3 linked regions of the Schizosaccharomyces pombe genome follow. The protein of the gene in region 2 interacts with the protein of the main gene of each other region in a pairwise test. Each region holds a gene or a part of one and is shown on either strand. Other genes may lie near its edges.

Region 1 (5,373 bases), 910 kb from region 2:
TCGGTACGCAACCGTTAAAAAAGATATATACGATAAAATCAAGAGATTGTTAAGAACTGAAGTATTTAGCCTTAATATTCAAATAAGGAAAATAGAAAAATTTGCTTAACTTTCTATACAATGGAAGGATGGATGGTTTGGTGGTGAAAGCTGAGTTAGAGAGTATGATATGCTACGCCAACTGATCAAGATACATACTGGCAATAAGATGGATGTTATTATAAATCCACTTGGCGAATAATTTCATACTCCCCAAAGGTATTAATATGAAATTGATATTATTCCCTTTAATTAAGTTAAGTATGCATAGTTGAAACACAACATCAAGTATCTCTTCAGTAAAACTTTCTAATTTCCAAAAATTTTGATATTTCAATCGTTGTCAATGAAATCAAAACAGTCAAGTAAGCAAAATAGGCTGTTATTGTTACATGATGGACAAAAAAGTAATGACTACAAATTGATGCTTTCTCTGGTTACACAATTTTTGTACAGACTTTACTAGGAGATAAATTCTTACAGAAAAAATGATATTAGTAAATAATAAATAGAGAAAAACAACCAAAACCGAGATACATATTTTTATTAAAAAACAACGTTACGAGATAAAAGGAGAATTGATCAAGAAAGCTGTTTGACAAATTCATCAATTCTTTGCATTCTCTTGCTTGTTCTTCTTCCATGAAGAGATCCAGTCAGATGCCAAATGGTGAGGCACAACATGCAACTGTACAAGACCATCAATAAGTGTAACTTTGGGATGAGTTAGAGCCTTTAAAATAGGAACATTCTTCCCAACTTTGATTAAACCGAGAGTATCTGTGGTAGCAAAAACATCAAGGCTATCGGGATTATACAGTTGATGGACGTCCCATGGTGCAGGCGATTGGAAAACCGTTTTCAACAACTCTAAAGGAGTACAATTTTCCGAGACAGATGGTACAAAATCAGATTGATAAACAAGTGGATAAAGTAATATGGTTGGAAAAAATAGCTCACTTTTAGGGTCATCAAAAGTAGAGAGAGAAATCATGGCGTCTCCTAGGTCAGGAGGATGCTCAGTAGTTTTTGTTTTTATATGCCTTTCTTGTAGCGCTAATAGAACCGTCTTTGCAGCAATTACCTTTTCTTGTGCTACCCTTTTCTTTTCAGATTCTCTCTTTTCAAAATCGTCTGACTTCTTCTGCAATTCTTTGGACAATGCTAGAATGGCAGGATCATTAGGATGAACTAATGAGCACAAGCGGATACATTCTTTTGCCTCATCATAACGTTTTAAAGCAACAAGAGCCTTGGCAGATCGGTAGTAGGCTTTTGCGTGGGTTGAATCACGTTGAAGAACCTGAGCACAGTCGTTTAATACTTGTCGATAATTTTCAAATAACAAATTACAAGCAGCTCGATTGGAATAACAAGCAATCTCAATATCTTTGTCGCCGCACTTTTGAGCTAATGCCTTTGTGTAAAACTCTTCTGCATCTTTATAGCGTTTTGAGGCAAAGCATTCATTTCCATGTTCGCGAAAATTTTGAGCTACTTCATGCGGCTCCCCTTCGTATGCCAGCGCTTTAAGCGCATCTAACTGAACATTATTTTCACTTTCATCCCCGACATCTTCAAGAGATTGCATGAAGAAGGGGACTTTGTTGAGTTCGTTGAACATCTCCTCTGCATTTTTATTCTTTGTATTAGGATCAACTTCAGATGATTGGAACCCAGCCATATTTATATTTTTCTAAAAATTTTTAAAACCTGTCTCCTTTTATGCCTTAATTGCTGCAACAGCGCGGTGTATCCAGGTTTAAACGAAAGGTGTGGAAGGTCAATTATTGTAGTTGAAAGAAAAAAGAACTACAATCAGAGAAATGGATGACTGCCATAGCTGAATACAGTAATGCAAACAGAAGACCAAGGAAGCGAATAAATTATAATACGATTAATAGCAATAAGAAGGTTTAGCTATGCTCCGCCAATGCTTGGACATCTCAATTCACAATAAAATTCCGAGCTACGGATATTTAAAACATCTCAATTTTATTTCGGTAGAGAAAAACTATTCAGACACCAATGACTACAACAGTGTGTTTGGTGAATTTCGCTGATGAATAGAAGTGATTCCTACTTTTGAAATAAAATCGTGAGTTACATATTAGCATTTATATAATTAGCTGGAGAGAGAAAATTACTAAATATATTAATATTTATTTAAATTCTTGATTTTTTAAAGTCGAGTACACGCTAATATCGTTTAGGGTATATAATGCAAATATAAGTTTATCAGCAAAGCAAAATTGACATGCGATGTATCAAATTCAATATGTAAATTACAACAGAAGTCTAATATGACTAATTTTAATTATTTAAAAGGGATTTTCTCTTATTCAATGGATCTTATAAGATTCACATGCCGATCCAGCGCAGTAATGTTTACATTTGAAAGATGTGGAAAAAATATTACATTCAGATCAGCGATCCGTTTCAGTGAGTCTTTAGACAGTTTCCTAAACTACGAACTTGTCATTAAAAAAGAAGGGAATCTAGGAAGGAGCATAACTTGTTTTTCAAGATCTGCGAAAATAGTTTTCTAGGATGCAAAATTAGGTATGTAACGCTTGATCCCTTCAAAAAAAACAGCATGTATTAGCCATGGATTGAGGCTAAATTAAATTTGTACAATGATATTTCCAGCATTACTATTACACAGTTTTTTGTTAGAATTAGATGCCTATTGCTGTAACTGGTTTTATAATAGTAAGATACATATCGCTTTAACAGGGAGTGTTACAAAGGCAGAGATATTTAATAATTAAGGAAATATCCGGTAAAGGAAATGCATATATGCTTATACGAATACTGTTTTATTGTTAATAACATGAAAATGTATAGTGATATGTAGTAGAATGTACCGAGCGACACAACAGTTGCGCAGTGACTCACTATTTGATAAACATGGAAATACTAATATTCATGAACATTATTTATAATGATTAAATCAAGTTGAACTGGGTAATTCATTAAACAAGTTATCATAGCACTTGAAATCGCAATTTACTCCATCTAACTGTATACCTAATTAGCCTTGTCTAATAGATGATCATTCATGCAGGTCTTTGTGATAATCCAGAATCTGTATTGTATAAACATACATGGTTAAGTGAGTTTCATTGAAAGTTACGATCAATATAAGATCATAATAACCAAACGTAAAAGGAAGTCGTAAAAAACCAAAGCTTTAAGTATCTCCATGCCTAGCAAAGCACAACTCCCATAAATTAAATGCCTTTTATAGAAATTAAGAACAATATATGTTTGTTTTTATGCAGCATTTGTATATCGACATTTTAAAAAAAATATGACCCCTAAGTGACTTGAACACTTGACTTTGAGATTTGGAATCTCACACTCTACCAACTGAGTTAAGGGGCCTAATCGACATCATCATATTAATTAACTAATATATAATGAATAAAAGAAAAATGATATTATGCTCTAAAAGATTTTACAATGATTTGATATCCACAGATGAAATACTTTATAGAGATAATTTGAGTGAATTAATGTGTTTTCAAGTCGGTCAATTTTTTTGCTAAGGAGAAAGTCAACATGCTTATAAAAAGGTCAAGAAGTACTGTGTAAGGCAATATTATTCTCTTTATTCGCGTTCAAATCTTATATAAGATAATATTATTACTAAAGAGTATTCTAATAGCTAGTATGAGATGAATCTAATCATTTACCAACTTGTGTAAACAAATTTTATCTTTTTAGAAATTACTGTGTGGTCCTTTAACCCATCATATTATAGAGAAAAATTATTGTTTAAACACTTTGATTTCTAATTTTTCTACTATTAGGGAAAATTGCCAGGCAATTCTTTTTCGCAATGTACTGACTTTTACTTTCCTCAGCGGTTATGACGACGCGTCGGTACTTTGGAATGGAACATTTTTTGCAAGAAAACATTTTGTATTTATTTTTTTTTCTTTTTTGGCATTAATGTTCCATACTCCCGCATACCTAATTGTTTCTTCATTCTGGCATTCGTTTTTTGGGTGTATTCATCTAAATACTACCACTATTCGTAAGCTTTTATAACGATGATTAAAGGTCTTCCACTCCTAACTCGATCGTACCAAATGCAGACAGCATCTAACCACGAATAATCGGATTCAATAAGTCCGTGTTTATTTGCTTTCTGTTAAAAAATAGCTGCTTTTCTCTTCGATGCCTTTATCTTAGGAAGGAAACGCAAACGTTGAAGCGATTTTCTTTAATGTTCCTTTCAAATCACTAATATTCGCAAATTGAATTTATCGTAAGATTCCAAAAAATGCGATGCTTAACGATTTATACATGGACTTTTAGGCGTCTTCCTTTCATACCCTCTACAAACTCAGCGTCTTTTTTTAGTACATTGAGATTCAACATGTCCACTGCTAACAATACTCAAGCAATTGTCATTGGTGGCGGTCTTGCTGGCCTTTCCGCAACAAATACGATATTAGATCTTGGGGGAAATGTTTTGCTGCTTGATAAAAACAGTAAGTGAAATTGATTATCAAAAATTGTGCAATAGGAAATGAAGCGTAACCTGGAGTAAATTTAGCACTTTCGACACGTATGGATCTTGTTAAGCAATTGGTTTCGAAATAAATCTCAGATATTCAGGATGTCACTTTATCAATACGTCTGGCATATTGTGGTTCTTAATCGGTAAATTCTAATCTCACTGTACTCATGCATGTCCCTTCGTGTATTTCTTTGGTTGACTCATTTCTTTTGTGCTCCTTACTATTTGTCTATATTAAACTATTAATTTCTTCTGTTTGTTATTTTATTAACTAACAATCTTTTAGCTGCTTTTGGAGGAAATAGCGTCAAAGCCGCTAGTGGTATTAATGCTGCTCCTACTCAATTACAGTTCGATCAGCATGTTTCCGACAGTGTAAATACTTTCTATAATGATTCCATCCTCTCCGCAAAGTCCAAGGCAAAACCCGAACTTTTGAGAACCTTGACTTCCAAGTCAAGCAGTGCTGTCGATTGGTTATCCGAACGATTTGGGTTACAAATGGATCAACTTTCTCGTTTGGCCGGCCACTCTGAGCCCCGTACCCATCGTGGTACCCATCCTGACTATCCTTTTAAGCCATTGGCTTTTGTTTTGGTTGATCAAACTGAAAAGTTTGCGGCTAGCCATCCCGATCGTTTACAAATTAAGAAGAATGCTCGTGTAACTCGTCTATTGACAAATCCCAATCACGACAAGGTTTTTGGTGTGGAATACATGGACTTGAGCGATAAAAGTAACCATACTGTTTATGGTCCTGTAGTACTCGCCACGGGTGGATATGCTGCCGATTACAGTGATGA
Region 2 (7,399 bases):
AACACTAGCTAGCCAAATGAATTGATACCTCAAAAGTCCAAACATAGAAATAGAAGTAAAGGCAGTAGCGGGAGTTAGCTGATGCCCCATAATTTTAGTATATATAGCAAAAGTAATGAACATACTAATAAAAGGAGCTATTTTCATTCCTGATTTAAATATAATATCAAACAAGGTTAAGGAATACATATTGTTTACCTCAAAAGAACGCTTTTCCTGGATGCGGCTCAGCATTGGACGCTCCCATCCAAAAAGTTTTGTGATCTTAATGCTTTTAAGGAGCTCTGTGGTCAAACGAATTCTTTCATCGCTGGATGTATTTGCAATCGAAGTTAAGCGAGATATTTTTGATGCAACTAATAACGGAAAACTTGAACTGAGAATGGCAAGTAGAAGGCCAACATAAGCACTCCAGCCAAGAAGCTGATACAAAAAGTACATCGAAACGCCCATCTCCAAAGGAGCTCGAGCGATTATTCCAATAAATTCCCTCATCTCTCCAATATTATCAACGTCTTTGGCAAGAAGATTGTAAACGTAATCCAAATTGATTTTTGATCCATCTACTGCAACAAAAAGCGTTTTCGAGGTAAGCACTTTTTTGTAGATCATTTGAGTAATGGCAGCCTTAATTCTCAACATAAACCTTCTGGAAACATGAACGTAAAGTTCCTTTACAACAGATGCCAAATAAGGACCGATCAGGAGTACAAAAACCCATAAAAAAGGGCTGTTTCCTTCATCACTCTTCGGGTTTTGTAAATATTGCAAAAGTTTTTTAATAGCAAGAGGAGTGACAAATAATGTTGAACTGACGAGAACGGACAAAAAAACCATCAATAGAATTGTTGATTTAAGGGATAAAAGGATTGTATGCATAAGTGATTTTCTATCATTCTTGGCGAACCGGCTGTACCAAATCTGGGTACACTCGGTGTCAGGAAGAGCAGGAACATCAGTGAGGGTAATAGGTTTTTTCCACGATTTCCATATAATACCGTTTAACCATCCGTAAGTAAAAATCAAAGAAAATATACTACATGTTTGTTCAGGAGACGGGCGAGCAACCTTGGAAAACTTAACGGTCGGGCTCCACGCTCTTGGAAAAAAGAGAGGAATTATGACAAGCAAAAATAAAGTAATGTTATAAGCTAAAGGAAGCAGGAGAAGAAAGGATCCGCCTTTAACTGAAAAGCTCCAGGATGAATAGGTTAGAAAATCATAGATGCTTATCAGTCTTAGTAAAAGAAGCCCAAAAGCATTTGCTACCGAAATCCAGGAAAACAGGGTTGATCCATATTTTAAAGATGACAAAATGTTTAAACCAACGATCTCCAAATGGGTAATAGTTCGTATTGCCCACCAAACAGCATTAGTGTCCAAGTAAAATGAAAGTGCGGCAGAGACAATAGATAGGATAATTTGAATGTATTCTAACAAACATGTTTCTCCAAAGTATTTTTTTAAGGGGTGTTGGGTGTGATTGGCATGAAATAGTTTTTGAATAAGGAACAAATTTGTAAGGGAAAACAAAGAAAGGTAAAAAAGCAGTAGACATTGGTCTAACGTTGCATTTCTAAAAAAATTTATATCTATGTAATTTGAAAAAAAAGACTGAAACATTTTCATCACAAGTCGCAAAGTCTACAAAAAAAAAATTCTAATGGGATAAAAACCTCAAACGACCTAAAATGTTAAGCAATAAAAAGTCCAAGGTCAATAAACATAAGTCCAAAAATGTCCAATGGGAGGGAAAAATAAATAGAGGATTTTGCAACGATTAGGGCAATCGTAATTAATAAAATTAACAATGCAAACAACTAACAATCAATCGTTTAGGAATTATTCATCAAATTCAGTATTTAATTACTTTGTGGTCAAGAGTTAAAAAATAAATGTCTAATTGCCTCGGGTAATTGAAGGAGTTAATGAGAGATATTATGCTGTGGTGATGGTAAACAGAAAAGCATATGTTGCCGAAAAAAAACACACCCCGGCGTAATTATTTTTTTGTTTATTTTACATTTGGTAAATTACCTCAATTAAATGACTCTGTTTAAAATTTATATTGATATTAAATTAATATCTATCTGAGTAACTTAAAATGATGTTCGACGGTTCTGAAGTACATGACTACGAAAATAAAGTTTTTTATATGCAGATGTGAGCTAGTAAATTTCATATGACTAACTAAACATTCTATATAAAATCATAATATGAAACCATTCAGGAATAGAATTTGACATATAATCATTAAAGTATGCAATTCGTACGGGTCTTAATACATGAGCAACATATCTGTATTGGGAACAAACATTTCCTAATCAATATATTCAGCCATATAGGTAGAAGATGGTACTTTAGTTTACTGTTTTTAATAAAAAACTGTCAACGCAGCTCAAATTTGCTCCGCTCCACCTCACAAAAAGGTTGATTGCAATTTTGTATGAAACGTAAAAGATAAAATGGATGCATTTTAAGACTGATTACATGATAACATTATTACTCTTTCTTTTCGTTACTGCCAACTTCCTCTTCCTCTTCGAGTTCAGGTTCGCTGTCACTAGCATCTTCACCAGCTCCAGCTCCTCCAAGGTTACCAAATTGACTGAAGTCCATACCGCCCATACCTCCAAGTGCGCTCAAATCTGGCATGCCACCTGCGCCAAATGGACTAACTTCAGGTTGTGCTTCTTGCTCATCCTCGTCAACCCAACGATCAAAATCCGTTCTGAGCCAGTGTAATCGAAGTTTCTCTTTAGTAAGACGAGGCCAAAACTCTTCTTGTAATTCCTTCTTGTATAAGACGAAAAAGATGTAGCGGCCGGTAACAGAGTACTTGCTTTTCTCGACATCAATGTCCTTAAAAAAGTCAATTTGAACTGCGTAATGAGCGTTGGCTCCAGATTTGCTATCGATAACTAGTTTTTCAGGTGTCAAATTAATTTTTGGGTCAACAGCATCCGGAATTAAAACGGTGAGGTAAATTACGTTCTTTTCAGCATCATCCTTATTGGATCTTTGTGCCCATAAAACTAAACGAATGTTAGTAACAAGCACTAATAAAACACGCAAATAAATGTACATTGGAAAACAGAATATACAAAACCGCTAATCAAATATTTTATGTGAAGAAACCGAAGAAAATACTATCTTCAAACGAGAATTATTCGGCTTATTCTCGTCTCAGATTCTTCGCAGTATAAGGTGTTACGGATTTTTGTTGTAACATACCTTCAGGAATTTGTGTATTTAAACTCATTCTTTAATGATAAAAAGTATAGGTAAATAATAGGTTCAATATGGTAATTTTATGTTGAAACTTTTCAACTGTGAACTGCTAAAGTGGTTTGTCTAGTGCAGGTTCTTGAAGTCACCTACATTATATAGTGAACTATAAGTCACTGGGTACGGTATTTTCTAGAACATACGCTCAAGTATTCAAGACTGTGCCAGAAGCGTCTAGGGAATAAAATTGTTAAATTGCAGTTTTAATAGTTATCCTTGTTGATCGATTTTAGAAAATTGAGTCTGTTTAACGTCAATTGTCAAGAAGCTGATCAATTAATTGATTTCTTGTAAAACGGGATTTTAAAATCCTAGAAGCCGCTTTTTTAATCAATTCATAAATTGAAAAGACCAACTTGATGTACTCTATTTGAGGACTATTCGGTTTACGCTGATTTGAGGATTCTTCGTTTGAACAATTGAAGAAGTAAGACTTTTTTTAAAGGTTTCATATCATTTCGGTTTCAGTATCATTTTTTTAGAGAGATTTGTGTCAGTTTTGTTTTTCATAACTTTCTTTCCTTGTATTATTGCATAATCATCCATCGTTTTTGTTTTTTTTTTAATTGGTAAACGGGGAATTTACGTGTTTATCCATTTTTTCCTATCACCCAGCATTTCTCATATTTTATTATCAAAATGCAAACTGTAAGATCTTATTTCTTTGGTCCGACGCCTCAAGAACAAAACAGAAAATGGCAATCCATCATTCGAAAAGAACAACGACAACTAGATCGGCAGGTATACCATCTTAAAGCAGGCAGGAAAAAGGCAGAGGTTCAGCTGAAACAATTGGCAAAGCAATCTGATATTACAAATATGCGTATATTGGCTAAAGAAATTGCCCGTGCAAACCGACATGGTAAAAGACTCGCCGAATCAAAAGCTTTATTAGGAAGCCTAAGTCTACAACTGAATGACCAGATGGCTATGTTAAAGATACAAGGTACTATGCAATCCAGCACAAAGATAATGCAAGATGTATCATCTTTAATTCGTCTTCCCCAACTCTCGGAAACTATGAGAAATCTGTCTATGGAACTTACAAAGGCAGGTGTCTTAGAGGAAATGCGTGATGAAATGTTTCTACCAGTAGAAGACGATGAAGAATTGATGGATTTGGCTGATGAGGATGAGGAAGTCCAAGAAATTCTTACAAAATATAATGTCATTCCTGCACCTTCAGAAAAAGCAGCGGATGCTGCTACACATCGTGAACAATCACTCAAACAAGCACTTCCATCTTTATCCAATGGGATTGCTAAAGACTCTACTGAAATTGATGAAGAACAATTGTTGGACATTCGTGATAAGCTAGATGCTTTGAAATCCTAAACGGTTTAAATATTTTTTCTTTCTCTGCTTCTAATTTTACATGTTTATTCTTTGTATTATATCATTTAAACTGATTTCCTTGCATATTTAACAAAACTCCCTGCATTACGGTTGTAGTAATTTTATGGCACAAAATTCTTTTTCTCGTTAAATTTTCATCAGTAGCATATGAAGTAATTATGCATCATGGACCGCCTTCCTATATCATTCAATTTTTGGCAGATATATTCAATAAGTAGGCTTCATATCTTTCCTTTGCCTTTGTTATTGAATACAAAATACTCATATATCCACCGCTGTTGAACATTACTCCATTAAAAAGAAATGCTTGTTCTTTTTGGTCAGCCAGAAAATTGGCATGAGCAGGATTTTCGTGCTGTAGATGATAGGGTTCGTGGAGGCTCTTCGATAAGTCATCTCACTGAGGAGAAGGATAGTGATGGGAAATCTCGCGCCAAGTTTTGGGGCACTCTTGATACTAAGACCTTGGGAGGCGCTGGATTCTGTAGTCAGGCTACTAATATCAAGGATAGGACGTGGAACCTGAAAGAGTTTAAAGGAATTGAGCTCGATATTGCTAAGAGCGATTCTTATAAATATACTTTTATCATTAAGGATTGTCATCAAGATTGGGAAACTTCTGATGAGAAGTCAAGTTTATCATATGAATACGACTTTACACCTATATATTCTAAGGAAGACCAAGTTGTTTCAATTCCGTTTTCCGAATTTAAACCGACTTATCGTGGTCGACCTGTAGAAGGAGCCCCGGAGCTTGACGTTAGCAAGATCACTCAGTTTTCAATTATGATTCGAAGCTTTTTTAATTCCCAAAGTGGCGACTATGAACTAGTTTTAAACAGTATTCGTGCTATTCCAAAGAATGTTCCTTTTACTACCCATAAGATGAGTAACGAGAAGCAAAGACTTTTTGACGATTATGAAAAAGAAATTGCTGGAGGTTCTTGGTGCATTTGCCAATAATTCCAAAGTTTTAGCAATACTTACTTAATTTATTTTCATGACATTTGATGAATTTAACTTGCGTTTTGTGCGGTATTCATTTGTATAGTAAAGACATGAAATTATAGTAAAGGCGACTTTGTATTACTTTAGTGTTGGGGATATTAAAGTCTCCTGCTACTCTTTTTTTATTTTGAAGTAATTTTAAAGAGATGAATAAGGTTAGCAATAGTTTAATTGACATCAATTTAGTACATTGACATTTACAAAAATCTGAGTTTTTAGCTTAGCCGTTACTTCTATCCATTAATGGTGATGTCCGACTAATGTCATTAGAGCAATTAGCATTTGCAATCATAAACTAGACGATCATAATCAATCAAAGTAATTGACAAACAACAACACTATGAATTGATATACGTACAACTATGGAGTTGTCACATCTCTGCAAAACTACAACCAAAGTAAATTCAATTTAGTTTGCTTATTTTAACTTCTGATTGTCAGTAACTTACCATATATACTCAACGCATTCTTTCCCATTGCCGCGGAATTTGTACAAATTTGACTAGTGAGGTTCGCTAAACTTCTTGATGATAGTAGTATCGACAGATTGTCATCACCGTATGTCTTGAAATAATTAGTTGGGTGTTTGCATTCCCCAATGAAATAAAAAATCTTCAATATTTAACTTTATTTTTATTATTTAAAGTACAAATTACATTCATCAATGAATGGAGCTGTTGAAAGCTTATTGTACATAAAAGTAATTAACAAGCGAGAGTATTCTATCTATTTATCTACTTACAAACAGATCAATCTAATGGAGTCGTTAAGAGTACCTTTATCCTTTTCTAAATGTATTCATAGGCTTAAACCACTAACTTAAAAGTAATTTTATTGTGTTGACAAAAGTTAAGCCACTGCTAGAATAGTGTAAATATTTTAAGCGAATTACGGTTAAACGATGCGACGGACAAAGATAACATTTTTCCCGACAAAGCGCTTCTATGTTTATCGACTAATACTGAATAAACCTATCCTCGGTTTCAACGAATTTTGCTTCCGAGTGTATAGATCAGCGCAAGTGGAAATTCTTAGAAGTGGCTAAACATGCTATTTAGGCCAATGTCCAACAAGGAAATTTTCATGACATGAAGTAAGAACTGGTCTATTTAAAGAGGTTCTGTCTGGCAAGCAAAAGTTCTACGAGGAATGTAATGACAATCAATTTTGTCAAGTTTTTATTACGATCCACTGAGAACAAGAACTTGCATTGAGAACCGATTGGATGTGGTTTTTAAGAGAAACAATTTTTGGTGAATTAGTGGAATACTTTTCTGGCGGTACTCGCCAAGTTGATGTGGAGAAATTAGGAGTATGCACAGATAATAGTAATGTTGAGTTAAGTAGTTGCCCCGATTCTTCATTTGACGACGAGAAAACTAACCAGGTTAACTCTGAAGGATTGATTATTGTGACATGGGATGGCGAAGATGATCCTGAAAACCCAAAAAATTGGCCTTTATGGGCAAAGCTCGTAGTAACATTTGATGTTTGTTTTTTAACGTTTGCCGTGTATATGGGGTCGGCAATCTTTACTCCTGGTATTCAGGAAATTCGAGAGACGATGCATGTAGGAACCGTGCCCGTAATCTTGGGGCTGACTCTTTTCGTTGAGGGGTATGCGGTTGGCCCTCTCATTTTCTCTCCACTCTCTGAGGTACCTCAAATAGGCCGTCAAAAAATTTATGTGCTCTCCCTTATTGTTTTTATCTGTCTGCAAATCCCCACTGCGCTAGGATCTAGCTTG
Region 3 (6,747 bases), on a different chromosome or scaffold from region 2:
ATTAAATGCTCATCCAAGGGAAGCCTATAACCCTCTTTATCGTTTAGAGTCTCTACAAACGATCTAGTCATAGACAAAGAGCCAGGTCCCATTCCTTTAAAAAAAGTCAGTCACCGAGAAATATTGTAAAAAAAAGGAAGATTCCGTCCCAGTGCTCTAAATATAAAAAAAATCATTTTCCTTCAAAAGAGCAACGGATTTATGAGAGAGCTTACTCCAATCACTTACCGTCAGAAACCATCATAATAACAAATTTTGGTTTCTCATTGGTCCCTTTGGACTTATGAGACGAGAAAAAATAAAAAAATATAACGGTTGATAAAACAAGGATTAACAGAATTCCATGTTTTATCCAAGTTTTCCAATTTCTACGAGAAGGGCTCTCCGGACCCTCGCCATGCACTGGCAGAAGAGGATCGCGCTCAGATGCCATTGAAAACTATTTAAACGGTAAAAATTGAATATCTCTAAAAGAAGGGATGTCAAAGGGTAAAGATCGTTTCAACGCGTATGACTTGTTGATGGATAGTACAAATTTTTGGTGTTGAAACAGCTCAACCATACATTGCATGACGTCATGGTTTAAAGTATTAACTCTCCATGTCGATCCTCGCTATCTTAAATCTGATATCGGATAGTATATGCACAAGTTAATCGAGAATGGCAATTCACCAAGTCCACAAGAAATAGCGTGATGGTAAAACTGTCTATATATACATGTAATATCTACTGTCAAATGCAAGTAGCTGTTGAAAATATTAGAATCAGCTGCTGACATGAAAATCCCGTATATCCAAAATTCGATGCAATTACCTTTCGACTATTATTGAGATCTTGTCATTAACGAAAAAAAATATATATAAGCAAATGAGTTGTGAACAGAAAATAAACAAACAAGTAAAGGACTGAACTGTTACTTGAAAATAAAGTACAGTGTTTAAAGTAGAAGACACATTGATGACTTATGATGGCAGTGAATTTTGAGGGTAATAATAATAAGAAGACAGCATTTTAAATCAGTGCGATATTAAAGGATCAATTGTTTTATTTACTTCATTGTTCATATGAACTTAAACATTATTTATATTTTTATTGTACAAAGAACGTGAAATGGAACTTTTGGAATAAAGAGTAGCTAATCAGGAATTAACATTTGGGAATTCCTAACCATCCAGGTATCGAAACCAATCCTTAAGCTAAAGATTAAACATACAAATAGCATTATTTTTTTGAACGACGGTAACTTCATAAAAACCCAAACAACCAAGTCTTCAAAAAATAATTTAACTGGATCATATAGCTGTGGAACAAATTTTTTCAAAAACCAGAAAATTAAAAAAATGTGGGTGCAAACACTGAGAACAGTGCTTGCAGTCTCCCATCACATACCACTTAGCAGTCCATTGGCATATGCCATTGGGCGAATGTTAGGATGGGGAACGGCTTCAAATTGGTGGAAATCCAACTCCATGTCTTCCTTAACTTTAATTACGGCACCAAGATTTCCGGTACTATCACAATAATTAGGAGCACTAAACACAGTAATACAATAACCATCGTGCTCAACTTCGTAGCCTTGATCTCTGACTTCATGAGAACGGATCACTGCTTTAAGACCATTAGCCTCGCAAAAACGTTTTGAAACATCAGGGCCGAATTGTAAACCCACCCCACGTTTCGATGGTCCTCGTCCTGGAGCAGGTTGTGGATCGGTCCAAAGCATTTCCATCATTAACCCAGATTGTCCAGGTTGCTTTTTACTAAATCTATCAATGTTTCGTAGTTGGTCTAATGTTACGTTATCATCAGAAAATAGGCCACCATGTACAACAAGATAAGAATCGGAAATTAGGGAACCAAGAGGTAGCAGAGAAAAAGTTTCCGAGAAAATATTAAATGTCCTCTCATTATACTTACTACGACATTCACCTTCGAATCCGTAGACTTTGTTCATATCGTCAGTTTCGTGATTACCGCGATTGATGAAAACAGCGTCCGGATATAATAACTTATATGCATAAAGAGTAAAAGCGACTTCAGTGGACCACGAACCACGATCGACAAAGTCACCATTGAATAAATATTTGTTAGTAGGGCTTGGAGGACCATGAAGTTTGAAAATGTTTAACAAGTCAAAATACTGGCCATGGGTGTCACCGCAGATAACCAATGTCTCATCCCCTTTAACAGGAATGTCAATTAAAGAAGGAGTTTTTTCAAGTAATTCTTTTAAGTCTCGCAATATGCTATATGCAAATTTTAGGGGGAGTTTTTTACCTTGGCAAAAGCGTTCCTTCATGTCTTCAACAAACTCTTTCGTTATTTGCTTTTCTAATATTACACCATCATAGTCAGAAGGAATGTCCATGTCTTCAATGTTGATATTCGCAAGTGGTGAAGGAGGTTCAGTATTATGAATAGCCTCCTGAAAACGAATCCTTTTGACCAATTGCTCACATTCACGAAGCTTTTTACGAGCAGCTGGATCACTGGGTGCTAGTGCCAATGCCTTTCGGAAGTCACCGACAGCCTCTTTGGGTTGAAAAATAGCAATATGAGCAGTAGCTCGACGAAAATATGCCTTTGCATATTCGGGGTCGCATTCAATAGCTTTGGAAGCATCATTGATTGCCAGACCATAATCCTCTGACTTTAAATGTGCAAGAGATCTATTGGAGTAAAGAATTGCGTTTGTAGAATCAAGCTCAATGGCTTTTGTATACAAATCTATAGCTTGAACGATATGTCCCTCTTTTAGAAACTTGTTGGCTTCATTTTTTAATTCCAATGCTTCTTTAGCCATTTTATTGAGCAAAAAGTACAAATTCAAGCCCTTGTGAGTTTTTGTTTGGTGGTTGATAGTAGCTAAAAAAGTTTTTATCTGTCCGAACAATGCAGCTTAATAATTGGTAGTATTGGGCTACAAAGAAACAGATATTTAGGATTCTCAAAGATCAAAATGATATTTTTAGAACAACAAATTAATGGCTTTATAAATGCAAACTTTGCAACGCAGCATACATATTAAAAAATAAATACAGAATTTACACAATGTTTTACATTAGAAATCTCAAAAACTTACAAGCGTAATAAAAGCAGTTTCTATGAAGTGTGTCTATTCATTTATCTACGAAATAAAATGACTCGAAACTTATAATACATCAATACATCTCAGATGAGAAAAACTTACAAGGCAATCATTATGTAAAGGAAATAACCATTGTTTTCTAAACACAAGTGATACCGGACAATCTTCGTATAGTTCAAAGAAAGATAACAAAAGCAAACGAGCTGTATCCTTCTCGTCTCAAGCACAACGAGTAGAAAGTACAAAGAGAACGTTATATTGATGTTATTCGATCTTGTCTATATTCCAAGATACCCAAATATTTTTTTTTCCTTTTTTAAGATCTGAGCAATCATCTATCAAATGAAATGATGATATAAGTCATTAACAATTTCCAAAGCGGAAAAAAACTGTTTCGTATCGACATGCTCAAGAGGTAGAACTCATCGAGAAGAAAGTGAACTATGTAGAAATGAAAAAAGACTACGAAGCGTTAGAATTTAAAAATTAAATATTCTTTTAAAGAATAACAAGGCCAATGGCTCAATTTAATGTTTTTTCTCAGTATCCATCCAAGCCAAAGTACGACGAATTCCTTCCTCCAAATCCACAATGGGATGGTACTTCAAAACATCTTCTGCCTTTTGAATGTTAAAGTAACGGTTAGCACAACTAAATTGGACACGGAAACGTGTAAAGCCAGGTTCCTTTTTCAAGAAATAACAAACCCATTCAGCAGCAGTGGCTAAGAGCATACCCACCGGTCTAGGGAATTTGATGATATAAGGGGGAACGTGTCCTGCATGTGCCCAAATAGCACGTGCAAAGTCCCAAAAGTAAATAACCTGTCCATTGGTAATGAAAAAGACTTGGCCATTGGCAGTAGGATTACTAGAAAGTAAATTGTCCATAGCCAGAAGATGAGCATAGGCAGCGTTTTCGATGTAGGTAAAATCAAAAAGATTCAAATTATCACCCAATTGAAATTTGGTTTGTCCATTCTTTAAAACAGAAAGCATACCAGGGACGAGTTGGCGATCACCTGGACCAAATAAACCAGCAACTCTAAGGGCAGCAGTTTTTAAAGATTCAGAACTTGCCTCCAAGACTTGTTTTTCTGCCAAAGCTTTGGACTCGTTATAGGCATCCATATGAACTTCTGGGATGGGCTGGGACTCATCCACATTGATAAGGTCAGCACCATTGAAAACTACACCTGCGGAACTAGTATAAACAAGGGCATCAACATTAAATTTCTGGCATGCTTTGATGATATTCGCTGTGCCATCTACGTTCACTTCAAAGTAAATATCACGAGCAAGGTTATGCACAGGTGAAGCAGTGTGAATAACTACGCGTGGATGAAATTCCTCAAAAACACGCTCAATATCACCTTGTTTCGTTAAATCACCCGTATACATGGTGAATTGACCATGAAGCTCGTGTAGCAACTTTTCATTTTCAAAGAGATCAAATGCAGCAATTCGAAGATTTTCACGTTCGCACAGCTGCCGTATGATATGACCTCCTAAAAATCCACTTCCAATAACTAACACGGAATTCATCGGCATTAAAAAAATACAAGAATAAACGATTGTCTGGTTCTTGCCAGGTATTCGACGTTACACCATATCGAGAAATGAGTGAGCTTATTTGCTACCTGTGTTTTTGGGGTGTAGGCTAGATGCAATACACTAACCATGATTAGCGAGAAAGAGAGCAGCTGTTGAATATGGAACATGGGTTAGAGGATAGTAGCCGATTGAAACTCTATTAGTACAATATGTAGTACGCACTTAGAAAACAGAAAAATTAAGTGAGTAACATCTCGAGTACCATTACAAGAAAACGATGACCTCCCGACCTCGTACCGTTCACATCTAAAACTGGCCTATTGTAAAGCAATGCTGCGTGCTACCTTAAAGCTCGATAATGTTGATAGCAGCCAAAACCCAATTTTCGTACTTTCTTCGTTGAACGTTAAACCAATTTATTATTTATAAATTCTATCGTTATACCTTTTATCAAATCACAATATTCAGCGTAAAACATTTTTCCTCGTTGGTAACCTTAATAAATAAATTATTAAGCAGTGTTGATCGCAGGAACAGCAAATTTTTCTTTTTTGGGTTGTAAACGACTAAAATTTGTTTCCTTGAAATTACTTTTCGCAATTGTTTTTTCTAGGCTACACCAATCGCACTTGAATCATACTTGTTTTTGGTTAAAACCTTAGTAAGGCAAGTAGCCCAGCACGGCTACATTGAGAATTTTGCTTTCTGCGCGTCTCTTTGACAATTTGTTTGGATTGTGGAGGCTTAAACTCTTAACTAACAAAAACGTGGATTTTTCTTGTCGAGTTCTTTCTATTGTACTAGCATAGGTCAGTCGTCTTTCATGTACAAAGCGTCGCTTACTCATGGCTTTGGTGGTTCGTCCATTTATCGTGGCCTCACTAATTCTCGACATTCCTATACCCTCTTCTACCATGTTGGCATTAAATTTGCTTACGCGATATCGGTGTCTCGTTCTGCCACTGTTAATCTAAGCGTTCGCACTTTTACGAATGTCTCGAACGAGTCTCATTATTCATCGCTAGTAAGCACACCATTTCCCAGGGCTCTATATAAGAATCAATTTACCCACTACCACCATATCGCATTCCTTCGATACTTCAGGACATTCTTTCCTTATCAGAAATTTAGCTTCTATAAAGGCATACCCGATTCTTTTAAGAAATCTTTGAAGTTAGGATCTATTTATTCCCCTTTAAAACAAACATATTTCTCTACAAATACTCATATCAATAGTAAGTGAAACGAAAAACGTGCAGGAAATGTGACGGCGATGAAGTCGAACCCAACAAAAAAAAAATTATTACCTAAAAATAAAACTAATTCGGTGATGAATTTTTTTCTTTTTTTTTGTTGATTAGTAGGAAACTTTTTTATTTCCGAACTCACGTGTAAGATTGGGTTTCATCTGTTTTTTTATCATTGTTCGATAATGGTTATCTTGTGTTCTTTCAGCTTTTCTATCCTTCTCGCCTTACAACATTAACGTTTATCTTTTTTTGTTTTGTTTTTTTAATTTTACTGACTTCATTAGTGACTCACAACAAGGTTGTTATTATTGGGTCTGGTCCCGCCGGCCATACTGCAGCCATCTATCTCGCCCGTGGTGAGCTTAAGCCCGTAATGTACGAAGGTATGCTTGCCAACGGTATTGCTGCTGGTGGTCAGCTTACTACTACCACCGATGTCGAAAACTTTCCTGGTTTTCCCGATGGTATCAATGGTACTACCCTTACTGAAAACTTCCGCGCTCAATCTTTGCGTTTTGGAACTGAAATTATTACCGAGACTGTTTCCAAATTAGATCTTTCTTCTCGCCCTTTCAAGTACTGGTTGGAGGGTGCTGAAGAGGAAGAGCCTCATACCGCTGACAGCGTTATTTTGGCTACTGGTGCTTCCGCTCGTCGCCTTCACATTACTGGTGAGGATACTTATTGGCAAGCAGGTATATCTGCTTGTGCTGTATGTGATGGTGCCGTTCCCATTTATCGTAACAAGCCTCTTGCTGTCGTTGGTGGTGGTGACTCTGCTGCCGAAGAGGCCCAGTTTTTAACAAAGTATGGTAGCAAAGTTTATGTCCTTGTGCGCCGTGACAAGCTTCGTGCT

Evidence for each region. Proteins that work in one complex are often made in the same cells at the same time.
Region 1: the proteins of wos2 (region 2) and cns1 interact in a two-hybrid assay, tested with the Schizosaccharomyces pombe proteins (one large-scale study listed by BioGRID).
Region 3: the proteins of wos2 (region 2) and SPOM_SPBC3F6.01C interact in a two-hybrid assay, tested with the Schizosaccharomyces pombe proteins (one large-scale study listed by BioGRID).

The regions. Positions count from the first base shown.
Region 1 is NC_003424.3:3,556,401-3,561,773, forward strand, and holds cns1 (HSP chaperone complex subunit Cns1), read right to left. Parts: upstream 1,825-5,373; 5' UTR 1,724-1,824; coding exon 647-1,723; 3' UTR 508-646; downstream 1-507. Other genes in the region: osm1 (fumerate reductase), read left to right, coding at 4,331-4,541, 4,857-5,373. UniProt on the Schizosaccharomyces pombe protein: Co-chaperone that binds to the molecular chaperones Hsp90 and Hsp70. Stimulates Hsp70 ATPase activity, but not Hsp90 ATPase activity. Involved in only a subset of Hsp90 functions.
Region 2 is NC_003424.3:4,465,734-4,473,132, forward strand, and holds wos2 (p23 chaperone protein wos2), read right to left. Parts: upstream 3,357-7,399; 5' UTR 3,263-3,356; coding exon 3,235-3,262; intron 3,036-3,234; coding exon 2,503-3,035; 3' UTR 2,154-2,502; downstream 1-2,153. Other genes in the region: abc1 (ABC transmembrane transporter Abc1/Ybt1), read right to left, coding at 1-1,629; ESCRT III complex subunit Vps24, read left to right, coding at 3,928-4,623; SPOM_SPAC9E9.15 (protein CIA30), read left to right, coding at 4,948-5,607; MFS family transmembrane transporter Mfs1, read left to right, coding at 6,878-7,399. UniProt on the Schizosaccharomyces pombe protein: Cell cycle regulatory protein that interacts with cdc2 in the control of the M-G1 transition.
Region 3 is NC_003423.3:4,184,092-4,190,838, forward strand, and holds SPOM_SPBC3F6.01C (serine/threonine protein phosphatase), read right to left. Parts: upstream 2,868-6,747; 5' UTR 2,804-2,867; coding exon 1,382-2,803; 3' UTR 508-1,381; downstream 1-507. Other genes in the region: pho8 (alkaline phosphatase), read right to left, coding at 1-94, 229-433; erg26 (3 beta-hydroxysteroid dehydrogenase/delta 5-to-4-isomerase), read right to left, coding at 3,616-4,638; thioredoxin reductase Trr1, read left to right, coding at 5,876-5,876, 6,176-6,747. UniProt on the Schizosaccharomyces pombe protein: Protein phosphatase that specifically binds to and dephosphorylates the molecular chaperone Hsp90. Dephosphorylation positively regulates the Hsp90 chaperone machinery.